Linked DNA regions of Macaca mulatta. The protein of the gene in region 1 interacts with the protein of each later gene in a pairwise test. Links are inferred from orthologs where the notes say so. Each region holds a gene or a part of one and is shown on either strand. Other genes may lie near its edges.

Evidence for each region.
Region 2: the proteins of BNIP2 (region 1) and BCL2 interact in a two-hybrid assay, tested with the Homo sapiens proteins (3 studies listed by BioGRID and IntAct). The link is inferred for Macaca mulatta from reciprocal best matches to the Homo sapiens genes BNIP2 and BCL2.
Region 3: the proteins of BNIP2 (region 1) and FRK interact in binary tests that used the Homo sapiens proteins (3 or more experiments, as listed by UniProt). The two-hybrid records come from large-scale screens. The link is inferred for Macaca mulatta from reciprocal best matches to the Homo sapiens genes BNIP2 and FRK.

Annotation. Positions count from the first base shown.
Region 1 is NC_133412.1:36,989,264-36,994,521, forward strand, and holds part of BNIP2 (BCL2/adenovirus E1B 19 kDa protein-interacting protein 2), read right to left. Parts: coding exon 5,228-5,258; intron 3,388-5,227; coding exon 3,301-3,387; intron 2,974-3,300; coding exon 2,875-2,973; intron 2,112-2,874; coding exon 2,076-2,111; intron 1-2,075.
Region 2 is NC_133423.1:17,763,418-17,768,675, forward strand, and holds part of BCL2 (apoptosis regulator Bcl-2), read left to right. Parts: intron 1-2,207; coding exon 2,208-2,342; 3' UTR 2,343-5,258. UniProt on the Homo sapiens protein: Suppresses apoptosis in a variety of cell systems including factor-dependent lymphohematopoietic and neural cells. Regulates cell death by controlling the mitochondrial membrane permeability. Appears to function in a feedback loop system with caspases.
Region 3 is NC_133409.1:21,104,336-21,109,593, forward strand, and holds part of FRK (tyrosine-protein kinase FRK), read right to left. Parts: intron 2,702-5,258; exon of another isoform or gene 2,533-2,701; intron 2,387-2,532; exon of another isoform or gene 2,384-2,386; 5' UTR 2,102-2,383; coding exon 1,758-2,101; intron 1-1,757. UniProt on the Homo sapiens protein: Non-receptor tyrosine-protein kinase that negatively regulates cell proliferation.

The sequences.
Region 1 (5,258 bases):
AAATCCTCTTAACATCTGAAATTTCCTTACCAACTAATTTCATAATTATTTTTAAACTCCCCTGAAACATTTTAACAATCTGTATCTGCATGGCCACACTTGCATCCAGTTGTTTGAAAGAAACATTTAAAACTGCTATCCTTTTTCTATCACTGGGGACATTGGATCTCACTGTTATCAACATTTCTTCAACCTTCTTCCCCACAAGCCCTTCAAGAAAATGGTTTTACCCCTTCTTCCCCTGCTCCCCAAAAACCTGCCATAGGGACTCATAGTTTCATATTTTCCTTAGCACCAGTACTTATCATATCATGGAGTTGTCACCTTAAATAAGCTCCCTTGTACCTAGCCTCTGTAAAGTTTGGTTTAGGCTGGGTGTTGTGGCTGACGCCTGTAATCCCAGCACTTTGGGAGGCCAAGGTGGGCAGATCACCTGAGATCAGGAGTTCGAGACCATCCTGGCCAACACAGTGAAACCTGGTCTCTACTAAAAATGCAAAAATTAGTCAGGCGTGGTGGTGGGAGGCTGTAATCCCAGCTACTTGGGAGGCTGAGGCAGGAGAATCGCTTGAACCCAGGAGGCAGAGATTGCAGTTAGCTGAGATTGGGCCATTGCACTCCCACCTGGGTGACAAGAGCAAAACTCTGTCTCAAAACAAAACATGCCTATCTAAATTTAATTTAAAAATTAAATTTTATCCTTTTCAGATTGACAAAAATTTATTATTTTTTAAGACTAAAAAAACTACAGAAACCACAAAGTTTTTGAAAGATACATGTAATAATTGTATTTATGGTTAAACACAAGTAAAAAAAAACTCAAGATAAAATAGTGACCGGTTTCAAACAATACATTTAAAGTACAAATTCCATATTTTTTTCTGATGTCTAAATTACTTTACAGTATTAAAAACTTTTTTTAAAAAAGGCTTAATACAGCACATTTTATCAACAAAGGCAATTCACTGTGAAATCTATGAAGCGGCTGGCTTCAAAATATTCTACAATTACAAATCATATTTTTAATTTCAGTCACGTGTCTGTCGGATGCACAGTAATGCCTAGAAAGGAATGAGAAATCAGCATGATCTAAAATCACTGTCTACATTTATGTTAAAGTGTTGGTTAAACTGTGAAGTGTCATATAGAAGTGTAAAACTGATTCTATCATAAGGCCTACTGAATTCTCACTCATCAACAGAAACAAAATGTGTTCAAAGTTAAGAATGTTCCAGTTAGTTACAGTTGGCTCCTTAGAATAGTCAAGATAATTACATATAAATCTCTCACCATAACTCTTAAGACTGCATTAAACTATGTTTTGCTAATTTAATTGCCAATATTTTAAAGATCTAACAAACTAGATCCAAATTCTACATTTTTCTAAATTATTATATAAAATTGTAAGTATTTTATACCCTTGCCTTCTTTCACCATCTATGTCAAGGTATCAATAGATAATAGTTTGTTATGCTCAAAGCAGAAGTGTTCAAAATTAAATTTAAAATAGAAAGCAGAGTGTTTAACTGTTAAATGGGACACTGAGATTTTAGGTATTTTATCACATGTAGAATTTGACTGGTTAGCAAGCCATTTAATTTAAGCATAAAAGGAAATTAATGTTGGTTAGCCAAAGAATATATGCATTGCAAATATAATAATCAACCCCAGGGAAATAAATGGATAGCTTTTAAAAAGTCTGCAAAAATATTTCAAAAGCACAAGTTAGCTATTTAAAGAAAATGGTGAAACAACTGAAGTCTTTTATTTGGTGTTCCAAATACCATTTTTAGTAATTTCTGTGGTTTCACCATTAGTACTTGGACTAAGAAGGAGAGAGAAGGGTCCGTGGTCTTTAAGTCTTAATTGGCATCACATATGGCAATAAAACAGGGTGAATCCAAGTCATATTCAGCCTTAGGAACTCTGGGTTCACCCTATATTTGGAAGTTGGGTACGTTTATATTTACAAATGCTATTATCTTTGTCTACAAGCTAACCAACCAATAAGGAAGAGTTAGTGTGCAATGCAAATGGACTAGTCTAGATGCAACCCAGTCAAGGTGTGCATATACCTTTTTTGTTTCTTTTTAAACTTTTCTTCTTCATACCTTTGTAGGGAAGAGTTATTTCAGTAAATATACATGTTATGAAAATGAATAAAAACTTGAAAAAAGGTACTTAAACCCATTTACATTTTCCAGCAAAACGAAAAATATTTAATACATGATGTAGAAAGTAAAAACTGACTTAATAAATCTGACTTTCACACATTAAATAGAGTAAAACCTCATGTGAGCAGAACAAAGAAACTTTTCCACATGCATTGTAATACTCAGGTATTTATGTTAACAGCCTTCTATCAAGTCCAAGAAGTTACATGGAAGAATGTGAATCTGATAATCAGAACAAAATTGCAGTCACTGGAAAACATTAAGGTTATAATGATTTAAATATTTTTATTTAGCAATATAATTATTCAATAATAATATTCATGATGAGTTTACTCAAATTTGTTGAGCACCATGTTCAAGTCTGGAGAACGTTCTTTAGTACTGATCAATTAGAAAAATCATCTCTTAGATTATAACCAGTCTAAAAAGTGTAACATGAATCACAACCAGAAATAATTTATCCTAGTTCTTCAATTGACAGCCTGAAGAAAATGCTAACTTATGGGGACGGTGTGGGAAATGGCTTCTTCCTCTTTTTCTTTGTTACACACACACACACACACACACACACACACACACACACACACACACAGAGACACACAGTTATAAAATACATAAAGAATGAGTATTGAAAAGTATTATCCGTTGCACATCAAAATATTAAGATCCAATACAATTAAGGAAATAAAACAAAACATACTGTTTTATGCATTCTGGTATGCCAACATATTCCATGGGGACAAGCTCTGCTAGTTCTGCCAAATTAAAGACGTATCTAATTTTTTGGCTGAATTTTGAGCTATGGAAGAAAATAAAAATAATTACCTCCATATTTCTGACAAATACAATGGATACAATGTTTACAAGATACAAAAATTTCTTATATACAAATGTAAGAATTTTTTTTAAAAAACTCATGTCATTTTGAATGTTCAAAACACAAAAAGATGATAAATGTCTGAGGTGATGTATGTGCTAATCACCCTGGTTTGATCATTATACAATGTATACACATATCAAAATATAGCTCTGTATCCCATAAATATGTATAGTTATTATGTGTTAACTAAAAATAAATGAAAAAAAAGTTAAAATAAAATTAAAGTCAATGGCTCTCAAAAATTACCTAATAAATGGTCTTGTAACAGCCAGAAGTGTTCTGATAAACCAAGAAGGATGTACAATGATTAGGGATTTTAGATTTTTCCGTAACCTGGAGTTAATAAAAAAACAAAACAAAACAAAAAAACACACATACACAAAGAAAATTAAAAATCTCTATAAATTCTAATGCTAAAAGTCAAGACATCAATAAATATGTGCAACTTTATACAAAATAATAGTTGAAAAATCTCACCCAGGAGTTTTCATTTAGGTATGATACCCCTGTAGACAAGAAAAAGGATTCTTGAATTCTGATGGTCCCTCCTACTGCTATGAAATGAACTTTACTTTATTTGGCCAAATTTATGTCCATAGTATAGCCTGTTATTAAATGTCTCCTAGCATACACATTCACTTGTCTTCAGGACTCTGTCAACCAGGGAAAGAGGCCATCCTGAATGTAAAAGTAAACTATCCTCATTTTCCAAGACTAGGGAGAACTTGGTGCTAAGTTCTTCAAAATCACGAAAAGCACTGTGCAGGCAGAGAAGTGTGAGTGGAGAAGATGACCACAGGAACAAAAACAAATCAGATCTAACTCCTATTCTCAAGGAATTTAAAGTTTTGATTAAATATTAAAGGTATTATCCTAGAGCTCTTCTTTTTAAATGACTAAATACAAACTTATTGTATTATGCATATTTCACACATAAAGTGAGATACATATATAATCACAAGAGCTAGCCAATGTCAAATTTAGACTTGATTTAAATTAGCCATGGCAAGATCAAACCAATTGGAAGATCACATTCCTTCCATTAAGTACTAATGACTAACTCCCAAGACAATATGCTTCAAAAGCTTGTTCCAAAGAAAGACTTTTACAACTAAACAAGCATCATTAAGAAACATAAAGACTGAGCACTGTGTCTCATGCCTGTAATCCTAGCACTTTGGGAGGTCGAGGCAGGTGGATCGCATTAGTCCAGGAGTTCGAGAACCAGCCTGGGCAACATGCGGAAACACTGTCTCCACAAAAAATACAAAAATTAGCTGGGTGTGGTGGCACAAGCCTGTAGTCCCAGCTACCTGGGAGGCTGAGGTGGGAGAATCACCTGAGCCTGGAAGGTCGCCGCTACAGTGAGCAGAGATTGCACTACTGCACTCCAGCCTAGGTGACAGAGTGAGACCCTGTCTCAAAACAAAACAAAAACAAAAACATAAAACATCCTAAGCACTATAAATTAGGCAAACCTCAGAATGTAATAAAATAGGAAACACACTACATTCTCCATCCTTTCCCAAGATGTAAATAGTAGGAAAGTGTTCAATGGGGAGAAAATTGCACCTTATAAATAAGGAGAAAGTGTTCAATTTCTCCTTATAAATAAGGAGAAATATAGAGCTACTTTGTAAGTTAGAAGAATTAAGGTTATTCTTTATAGAAAAATCAAAATTGATTTCCCTCACAATATTCTAAAATGCTATCTTTAGAAAATAGAAACCTGCCATGAAATTAATAAATAAAATTTAAAAAATAAATGGTGTTTTAAAATAGCAACTGAAGGCCGGGTGTGGTGGCTCATGCCTGTAATCCCAGCACTTTGGGAGGCCGAGGCAGGAGGATCACCTGAGGTCAGGCGTTCGAGACCAGCCTGACCAACATGGAGAAACCCCATCTCTACTAAAAATACAAAATTAGCTGGGCGTGGTGGTGCATGTCTGTAATCCCAGCTACTTGGGAGGCTGAGGCAGGAGAATCGCTTGAACCTGGCAGGCAGAGGTTGCAGTGAACCAAGATGGTGCCATTGCACTCCAGCCTGGGCAACAAGAGTGAAACTCCGTCTCAAAAAAAAAAAAAAAAAAAAAGGCAACAGAAAACAAAGTTTGATCTACTAAAGCCATTATAAAAATTTATCAGACTAGCTTTCAACTTGTATGTGTATTACCTTCTATCAATTTGCTGATAACATTTCCTGA
Region 2 (5,258 bases), on another chromosome or scaffold:
CCCAAATCACGACCACTAAAAATGCTTCCAAACATTGCCAAATGTCCCCTGGGGGGCAGGATCACCCTCAGTGTGACCCACGCCCTAAATCCGTGCCTGCCTTTTGAGAGAGTGAGGATGGCTCAAGGCAAGCCCTTCATGATTTCTGGAAGCAATACTGATGACTGGTCAATTGAGGTCACTTCTAGGAGTTTATTTCAAAAAAGCAACTGAACAAATAGACAAGAATTTATGTACAAAAATATATCATGATATCGTTTATAATAGCAAAAGTTTTAAACACTGTAAAAATGAATTTTTTAAAGTATGGCACATATTATATATCATGAAAATAATTGCATAAATCTATATTTAATAATGCAGAAAGTTCCCCCTAACAATCCCCTTAAACCCTCATCAAGACTACCTCAGGATTCTCTGAGGCCGTTACATATAGAAGGAGTAATTCCAAACAGATTAATAAGCATCTGGGCAAAGCATTAAGCCAAAGACAGAATGTAAACTGATGATTGTATTCAGAAAACTTAAGTGAACAAACATTTACTACGCACCTACAGTGCACCAAGACCATGCCCAGCACGGGGGAGACAAAGAGAATCCCTGGTCCCACTACTACAGCCCTTGCCCCAGAGAAAGGGAACGCCTCCGTGCACTGTTGGAGCCCCTCCCAACAGCGATGCCCAGGGTCATGGTATGTTACTGTTTCCTGTAATAAAATTGTGTGCTTTGAGTCAGGGTTGTTGGGAATAATGTGGAACTATTCTTGTTTTCTTCATACCTGAATAAATCAGAACTAAAAAGAATTCCTTTACTGATGTATATATTCAAATATTCAGTTGTCCAAATACTCATTGGACCCAAATGTGACACATAATCTCCCCCAAATCTAGGAAATGATCAACCAGTGATTTGCCCAATCCAAGCTGATCCAGAGAGTGGACTCTGCTACAACACTACAGACCTGACTTGAGATGGAGAGATAGGAATGGAAGGGAGACACCCTCTTTGTCTCTCGGACCTGCACGTCCAGTGACACACCCCTGATCTCATGCCTTGTGAGATCCACAATTTGAGTGTGGTCGTTCAGTCTAGCCACCCCCAAGAGAAACCCTCTCCCTTTCCCTGGGAGAACCTTGACCTTAGAGGCTGGCACTGCACCAGTCGAGGCCGCCCTGGCCCCTCCACCGCCTGAGCCCTCGGTCGACCAAATGCTCTCACAGAGCTGCCGTTAGCCATGCCAGGGCATCAGCAGAGAGAAGGGTGCTGGTTTCTATCTGGGTTCAAAGCCTGGCTATGCCATTTGTTAGAAAAGTCTCTTATTCCCTGTGATTCTCAGCTTTTTCATCTTCAGACAGAAACAAATAAAATAACTTAGTAACATTGGTACAAAGAATTAGCTGGATGAGATAGCTCACAACTTTAATCCCAGAACTTTGGGAGGCTGAGGCAGGAGAATCACTGGAGCCCAGGAGTTCAAGACCAGCCTGGGAAGCATAGTAAGACCCCATCTCTACAAAAAATTTTAAAAATTAGCCAAGCATTATAATCCTAGGTAGTCAGGAGGCAGAGGCAGGAGGATCGCTCTTGAGCCCAACAGTTCAAGACTGCCGTGGGTCATGATTGCACTACTGCACTGCAGCCTGGGCAACAGAGCAAGACTCTAGCTCTTAAAGAAAAAAAAAAAGTTTGGTACGAAGATTAAAATAATGTATGTCAGACATTTGATAAGACGTCAACACTCAATCAAGGAGTGTGACAGTCATCATCACTGCTACATTTTATTACTTTTGTGGATGGGCGTGCTAGCTAAAACTGCAGAACCTCTAATATTTTCTAACTGCCTCCGCTGTTTTTCTCCTCGGCCCTTAGCACTCTCTCCTACACCATGTGATAAATTATATTCATTGCTGTCTATACTGTTCCACTAGATGGAAGCTTCGTGAAGTAGGAACTTTTAGTCTATTTTATGCACTGCTGTATCTCTAAGATGCCTGGCATGTAAATAGGTTCTCAATAAATATGTCTTGAATTAATGAAAACAGTGGTTTCTGAATCATGGCCTCCAAAGAGCGTTTGCCTTTTCCCCTCTCGCCCTTCTGAAGGTGCCCAGGCTGCCCTGGCAGGATACCTTTTTCTCTGTGGGGTGGCATTCTCTGCTCTCTTTCTAATACTCTTTCTTTTTCTTTCCTCCTCTACCCCAACTGCAGGACGCCTTTGTGGAACTGTACGGCCCCAGCATGCGGCCTCTGTTTGATTTCTCCTGGCTGTCTCTGAAGACTCTGCTCAGTTTGGCCCTGGTGGGAGCTTGCATCACCCTGGGTGCCTATCTGGGCCACAAGTGAAGTCAACACGCCTGCCCCAAACAAATATGCAAAAGGTTCACTAAAGCAGTAGAAATGATATGCATTGTCAATGATGTACCATGAAACAAAGCTGCAGGCTGTTTAAGAAAAAATAACACACATATAAACATACACACACACAGACAGACACACACACACACACACACACACCAATTTTCAGGCAAAATGTCGAATCAGCTATTTACTGCCAAAGGGAAATATCGTTTATTTTTTACATTATTAAGAAAAAAAGATTTATTTATTTAAGACAGTCCCATCAAAACTCCTGTCTTTGGAAATCCGACCACTAATTGCCAAGCACCGCTTCGTGCGGCTCCACCTGGATGTGCTGTGCCTGTAAACACAGATTCGCTTTCTGTGTTGTTGGCCAGACTAACTCACCATTTGAAGAGCAGATGTATGGAAAAAGGACCTGATCGTTGGGGAAGCTGGCTTTCTGGCTGCTGGAGGCTGGGAAGAAGGTGCTCATTCACTTGTATGTCTTTGCCCTGGGGGCTGTGATATTAACAGAGGGAGGGTTCCTGGGGGGAAGTCCATGCCTCCCTGGTCTGAAGAAGAGACTCTTTGCATATGACTCACATGACGCATTCCTGGTGGGAGGAAAAGATTTGGGAACTTCAGATGGACCTGGTACCCACTGAGATTTCCACACCGAAGGACAGCGATGGGAAAAATGCCCTTAAATCATAGGAAAGTATTTTTTTAAGCTACCAATTGTGCCGAGAAGCATTTTAGCAATTTATACAGTATCATCCAGTACCTTAAGCCCTGATTGTGTATATTCTTATATTTTGGATACGCACCCCCCAAATCCCAATACTGGCTCTGTCTGAGTAGGAACATAATCCTCTGGAACTTGAGGAAGTAAACATTTCGGTGACTTCAGCATCAGGAAGGCTAGAGTTACCCAGAGCATCAGGCCGCCACAAGTGCCTGCTTTTAGGAGACCGAAGTCCGCAGAACCTGCCTGCATCCCAGCTTGGAGGCCTGGTCCTGAAACTGAGCCTGGGCCCTCACTGGCCTCCTCCAGGGATGATCAACAGGGCAGTGTCGTCTCCGAATGTCTGGAAGCTGACGGAGCTCAGAATTCCACTGTCAAGAAAGAGCAATAGAGGGGTGCGGCTGGGCCTGTCGCCCTGGGGCCCTCCAGATAGGCCCATTTTCACGTGGAGCATGGGAGCCACAACCCTTCTTAAGACATGTATCACTGTAGAGAGAAGGAACAGAGGCCCTGGGCCCTTCCTAGCAGAGGGACACGGTGAAGGCTGGGAACGTGAGGAGAGGCAACGGCCATGGCCCATTTTGGCCATAGCACATGGCACGTTGGCTGTGTGGCTGTGGCCCACCTGTGCAGTTTAAAGCAAGGCTTTAAATGACTTTGGAGAGGGTCTTAAATCCTAAAGGAAGCATTGAAGTAAGGTGTCATGGATTAATTGACCTATGTCTATGGAATTACATGTAAAACATTATCTTGTCACTGTAGTTTGGTTTTATTTGAAAACCTGACAGAAAAAAGAAAAGTTCCAGGTGTGGAATATGGGGATTATCTGTACATCCTGGGGCACTTAAAAACAATCAATGGTGGGAAACTATAAAGAAGTAACAAAAGAAGTGACATCTTCAGCAAATAAACTAGAAAGTGTTTGTTGTGTTTTTTTCTTCCAGTTTAGAATCAGCCTTGAGACATTGATGGAATAACTCTGTGGCATTATTGCATTATATATCATTTATCTGTATTAACTTTCGAATGTACTCTGTTCAGTGTTTAATGCTGTGGTTGATATTTCGAAAGCTGCTTTAAAAAAATACATGCATCTCAGCGTTTATTTTTTTTTTTTAATTGTATTTAGTTATGGCCTATACACTATTTGTGAGCAGAAGTGATCATTTTCTGTTTGGGATTTTTGTCTCTTGATTCTTCAAAAGCATTTCTGAGAAGGTGAGAAGCCCTGAGTCTCAGCTACCTAAGAAAAACCTGGATGTCACTGGCCACTGAGGAGCATTGTTTCAACCAAGTCATGTGCATTTCCATGTCAACAGAATTGTTTTTTGTGACAGATATATCTGTTGTCCCTTTGACCTTGTTTCTTGAAGGTTTATTCATCCCTGGGCAATTCCGCATTTAATTCATGTTATTCAGGATTACATGCATGTTTGGTTAAACCCCTGAGATTCATTCAGTTAAAAATCCAGATGGGGAATGACCAGCGGATTAAAATCTATGGTGGTTTGACCTTTAGAGAGTTGCTTTACGTGGCCTGTTTCAACACAGACCCACCCAGAGCCCTGCCCTCCTTCCGTGGGGGCTTTCTTGTGGCTGTCCTTCAGGGTCTTCCTGAAATGCAGTGGTGCTTACGCTCCACCAAGAAAGCAGGAAACCTGTGGTATGAAGCCAGACCTCCCCGGCGGGCCTCAGGGAACAGAATGATCAGACCTTTGAATGATTCTAATTTTTAAGCAAAATATTATTTTATGAAAGGTTTACATTGTCAAAGTGATGAATATGGAATATCCAATCCTGTGCTGCTATCCTGCCAAAACCATTTTAATGGAGTCAGTTTGCAGTATGCTCCACGTGGTAAGATCCTCCAAGCTGCTTTAGAAGTAACAATGAAGAATATGGACGTTTTTAATATAAAGCCTGTTTTTTTTTTTTTTTTGTCTTTTATTGTTGTTCAAATGGGATTCACAGAGTATTTGAAAAATGTATATATATTAAGAGGTCATGGGGGTTAATTGCTGGCTGGCTGCCTTTTGCTGTGGAGTTTTGTGACCTGGTTTAACAGTAAATGTAGCCAGCCGCCTGGCCCCAGAACTGTACAGTATTGTGGCTGCACTTGCTCTAAGAGTAGTTGATGTTGCATTTTCCTTATTGTTAAAAACATGTTAGAAGCA
Region 3 (5,258 bases), on another chromosome or scaffold:
CTCAGCATTTCTAATACAGTCAAGCATGAATGTAACTGAACCACTACATATGAACATAAGAGCTCCTGTTTCCAGATAGTCAGGAAATCCATTGGTCTTGGCAACCCCAGAGAGTTGCAGATGAGGAAATTGAGGTCCTAAGTAGTTATATGAGTTGAATATATTTAAAACTAACAGATTATGAATTCAAGGCATGAAACATTAATATATTATTATTATTCTATACATGTTATGCCAAATATAAAATATGCATAATGCCATATAGGACATAGAAATCATATAGTAGTGAAAACACATAAATGCACATAAGTGTATCCAATGTATAAAGATATTTCCTGTAGATTATAACAGAAAGCAAATGTTCACACAGGTGATTTTCCCACTTGATAACAGATCAATTCCATTCATCAAAAGTATATTTAATTCCTTTCTATTTAAGCATAAATTAAGACCCTTCTAAACATTTATAGGCTCTTGGTGTTGAAAAGAATCTCAAAAATCAAAAATCATCCAACCTCTCTTCATATGTGACGCATGAGTTTGGAAAGTAGCAACAATGCTCTATGGCTATTTATTATTATTTTATTCCCTGGACCAGTAAGGGATTGTCACATAAAAATAAGAAACACTTACATAAGAGAATCTCCAATGGTTTCCCTATTAAGAAACCATTCTATAAAATGAGTCCATCTTCTGAGAGACATTCCCAGCCTAAGGTTTCACTGGATCCAGGCGGCAATGAGATCAGGACCAATAAGAGTCTCCATTTGCTTCCCAACCCACCAGACCCCAAGTATACATTGTCAAGACTATGCTTTATTCACTTTGTGTTCAGTCACCACTAGAATAACCTCCTTTACCCTCCCCGACTCAGTCCACTACTGTCTATGCCTGGCACTTAGAGGGGTGGTAGGTGGATGGATGGATGCGTGGATGGATGGATGGATGGATGGATGGATGGATGGATGGATAGATGGATGAGTGAATAAAGTACGTAAAAACTTTCCTCTTTTGTTCCACTATAATTCATATTTCATTCAAATACCATGATAAAGTCTCAATCTCTTCTTCTAAGGAGATGTTGTCATTTTTCCTATCAAAACTTAGTAAATGTCTGTAGCTGGCCAGTTTCTAATTATAATAAAAACAAAAAGATATCATCATTTGGGTAGCATATCTCAGGACCTGGGAATTTTTTTTAAAAAGTCTATATCATGATTTCACTGAGAACATTAGTATCTTCTAAGTGTTATCTTCTACGTTAGCCCTGTGTATTCCCATCAGAATGAAAGGGATTAGGATGAGAGCTAGGGCTAGAGTTGATATATATAACCCTGGAATGTTTCAAAAGTTTTTTTAAAAAAAGAATCTGAAGTTTAGATTTGAGAGCATCATTAAGGGAAGTCCTATAATATACCTTCAAACAAAATGCAATTTTGTTGTTAAAGTGAGGCACGAGTTATTTCACAGCCAAAAAGAAGGTAGAGTATTAAACACATCATTTGTTTAATGTTGAAAATACACCCTGGGCCTGTGGGTGTACATACTGTAAAAAAGTCATCTCAACAACAATTACCCGCCAGTTTCACTCTCACTCAGCGGGGGAGGTGTGTTTCAATTAGTGGTTTCTTGCCAGTACTTCCTCATACTTTCCTCATACTCTTTGGGCATTAGGGGGTTGTAGAGAAGTAGAAAGGAAAACTCATTACCCAGCCCTCAGACAGTTCAGAAATTAAATAGAAGTTTGTACTACTCACGGCTCTGCCTGTAGGCTTCTGTCCTCAGCCACGTAGTTAGAAGGAATATAGCCCTGTAGTTGCTGACTGGAGCCATCTCGCCTTTTCTCCAAGTGTCTGGCAAACCACCAGCCCTCATGTGAAGTGTCCAGAACTTGAAGTTTGTCACCTGCCCGGAAGCTCAGATCCTCAGCAGTCCGAGCCTGGTAATCAAACAAAGCCACAAAGTAGCGGCCATGCCTCTGTGACTGGGGAGAGCAATGGGCCCCTGGATTTTCAATCACCGTTGACTTGTCTGCTTCCGTCGACAAGCAGGGGAGATAGGGTTCTAGATACTCCCAGAGCCTCTGACAGATGTTGCTCATTGTGCCTTGGTGGGGAGAAGAGGAGCAGGGCTTCTCCCTCTCCCCTTAGTCTCTGCGATCCACCTTCTCTTCCTTCACCAGGCACCTTTGAAGTCAGCACCAACTCACCATACTTTGGAGAGTATGCAAAGTCCCATTTCAAATCAGTCCAGCAGCTGGTTGCAGCAAGTCCTACCTGGAGAGACTTACCGGCTTGCTTTCTGTGGCCGGAGCTGCTACCCCCAAGCAAAACGGAGCAGGAGCTGGGCAGCTGCTCAGTAGGAAGGTATCTTTTCTTCGTATCTGCTTAAGAATCGCACAACAAAAATAAAATAAAATTAAAAGGGCTTTATTTAGACAAATATCTGAGAACAGAATGGTGCCATCTTGCCTTTTGTCCCAATAAAAAGTTAGCAAGAGGAAGCTACTAACCCCTGGCAAAACCTACACACCTTGCTTTCGCCAGGAGCTCTCCCCCTGTTTCAAGTCTGCTCCTGTCTTTGGACCAGTCTGGATCTGGACGGCTCTCTCCTTTTTGCTAATGAATAACCAACCAGCAGAGGTTGTTGCCTTTAACATTCTGAGCTATGAACAGACTGTAATAATTTCCCCTTACTTCCTGGTTTCTTTCTGTGATCTAAATGGGATTCTGACTTCTTTACCCCTCCCATCTCCCACACCCAAGATAGACCAGATCCTTTACCAAACTGTTAAAGCAGCCACTAAAATCTATATTCCTTTTGTTTCATCCTGGAGAAACAGGCTAGCCCAGGTAGCTTTTTGTCTCGCTATGTTCCCAACACTGACATTCACGGCAGAGATTTTTTTCCCCCACAAATAGGAGTAGAATTGTTTTGCCACCACTAGGGGAAATTTAAAACGGCAAATTATTTAGGTATTTCTTGTTAGACACAGAGCAATTGGAAAAGAACCATCAAGTCACTCCCTTTTCTCATTACCAAGAATAGATTTTAATAGCTTCAAAGAAAAGTCACAGTCTGGAAAAGTAAGAAAGCAGCTGACTAAAATGCTGAGAACCCAAAACGTTGCTTTTTCCCACAGACATTTAATTTCCTATCCTTCAAGTACTATTTTGGAAACACACACACACACACACACACACACACACACACCCCACACCAACTAGGTGACCAGTAGAGAAAAAAAGAGTAGGGCAGAGTGCTCTTTGCGCACTGCTGTGGGGGCTCTTTCTGCTAAACTTTGACTTCCAGATCTATACTAGTTCTTGCTAATTTCCTTGGCAAGAACTCAGGAACTAATGAGACTGACATCAGGACAGCCATCTCTAGACAGGCAGTGGGTTTTGCTTGACCTTCCCTAGTTCAGGGCAGCTGTCTCGCAAATATGTGCCCTGGATCACAAAAACAGCTGGGCAATGAGTCTGGCAGTCATTTATACTAGTAGACAGCATTGCAAACTTGTTTATGATGTCACTGATTTCCCTATAAGACTTTTTTTTTAATTTCTTCCTTAAAAACAATCTTTCTAAATGTTGTGAGATCCTTGAACCTGGCTAACCTATTCCTAGTACGAGCTCATAACTTCTGTTCTTTGTCAAATTGCAAGGCATTTAGTAATCAGAATAATCAAACTCAAGAAAAATAAAGAAAGAAAGAAAATCAGAGAACCATGGCATCAGCCCAACCTGCTACTACTTTGTGCAAAAATCAGTCCATAGCACTGGACAGATCAATTGGTAAAAATAAAATCTTGTGTTATGCTCCCAAGTTTCTCCAATCGTCTTTGGAGTCAGAGTACAAATAACAAGTTGACAGAAGTAGAAAAGCCAAAAGCTGAGCCAAGTTTTTGTTGTTGCTGTTGTTGTTTTGTTTTTTAATGAGATGAGACCTAAAATAGAATGTATATGTAATTTTATATTATATACAAAACAGAAAATATATAATATCAAATGACCATAAAGGACATTTTGTTCCAAATACAATAATGGATGTAAAAGCATAGGATTTTATTAGTGCCCCTGACAGAGGCACACATTGCTGAAGTCTTTCCTGAGACATCTACACGATCTAAAAATGAAAAAAAAAAAAAAAAAAGATTTAGAAGCAACCTGAGAGATGTATTGAAACCCAATTTGTAAGTGGGGTTTTAGATTTTTGAATTGTGGGGGTTCTAAATTCAGACATGTCTTTGCTATAGTTATGACAAGGCATTCTGGAAAAAGACAAAGCAGCAGACCTGCACACCACAGTCATTGAGCAAGTGAGTGAAATTCAAAAAGCGGCCAACCATCTGAAGATGTCAGGTGAGCAATGGCCTGAGAACGCAGAGCCAAGGGGTGGAAAGAGAGAGGATTTCTTTGTGTCGATAGTACTAGAATCCTCCAGTCACCCAATCTCAAAGTCTTGCAGTCATCTTTTATTTGCTCCCTGGTTTCTTTGAGCTAATCAATCACTGAATTCTGCTCAGTCTTCCTTTTCATTTATTCCACAAACTTTTTTTTAAGCTCCTTCTGAGTGACAGCTGGGCACCAGACAGAAAACAGAATATTCTTTCCTAAATTATTCCAGAAGCCTCCTAACTGATCTCACTTCCTCCAGCTTATTCCCGTCTCTGGCTGTTCCTGTACACCAAGATGAGTGGTGTTCATAATAGTTTATTGAGCAGTTTTTATAACAGTAACAATGACTGCGGTGATAAGACATTCCTAGTCATTACTGGTAAAAGTAAATATCTGTTTGGTAAGCTTTCTATGTGCCAGGCACTGTACTAAGAATGTTAGAAATAAGATCCAGGAATTCTACTCCAGGGTATGTATCCAAAAGATTTGAAATCAGGAAGCCTGAGAGATATTGAACTCCTATGTTTATTGCAGCACTATTCACAATAGTCAAGTTATGGAATCAATCTAAGTGTTCATCAATTGATGAATGGACAAGAAAATATGGTATATATACACATTGGAATTCTATTCAGCCTCAAAGATGAAGGAGAAGAAGGAAATCTTGTCATATGTGACAACATGAATGAATGTGAAGGACTTTGTGCTAATGAAATAAACCAGACATGGAGGCAAATACTGCATGTTCTGACTTATATGTGGAAGCTAAAAAAATCCAACACATAGAAGCAGAGAGCAGAATGATGGTTACCAGAAGCTGGGGAATCAAGGGAATGGGGAGATGTTGGTTGAGGGCTA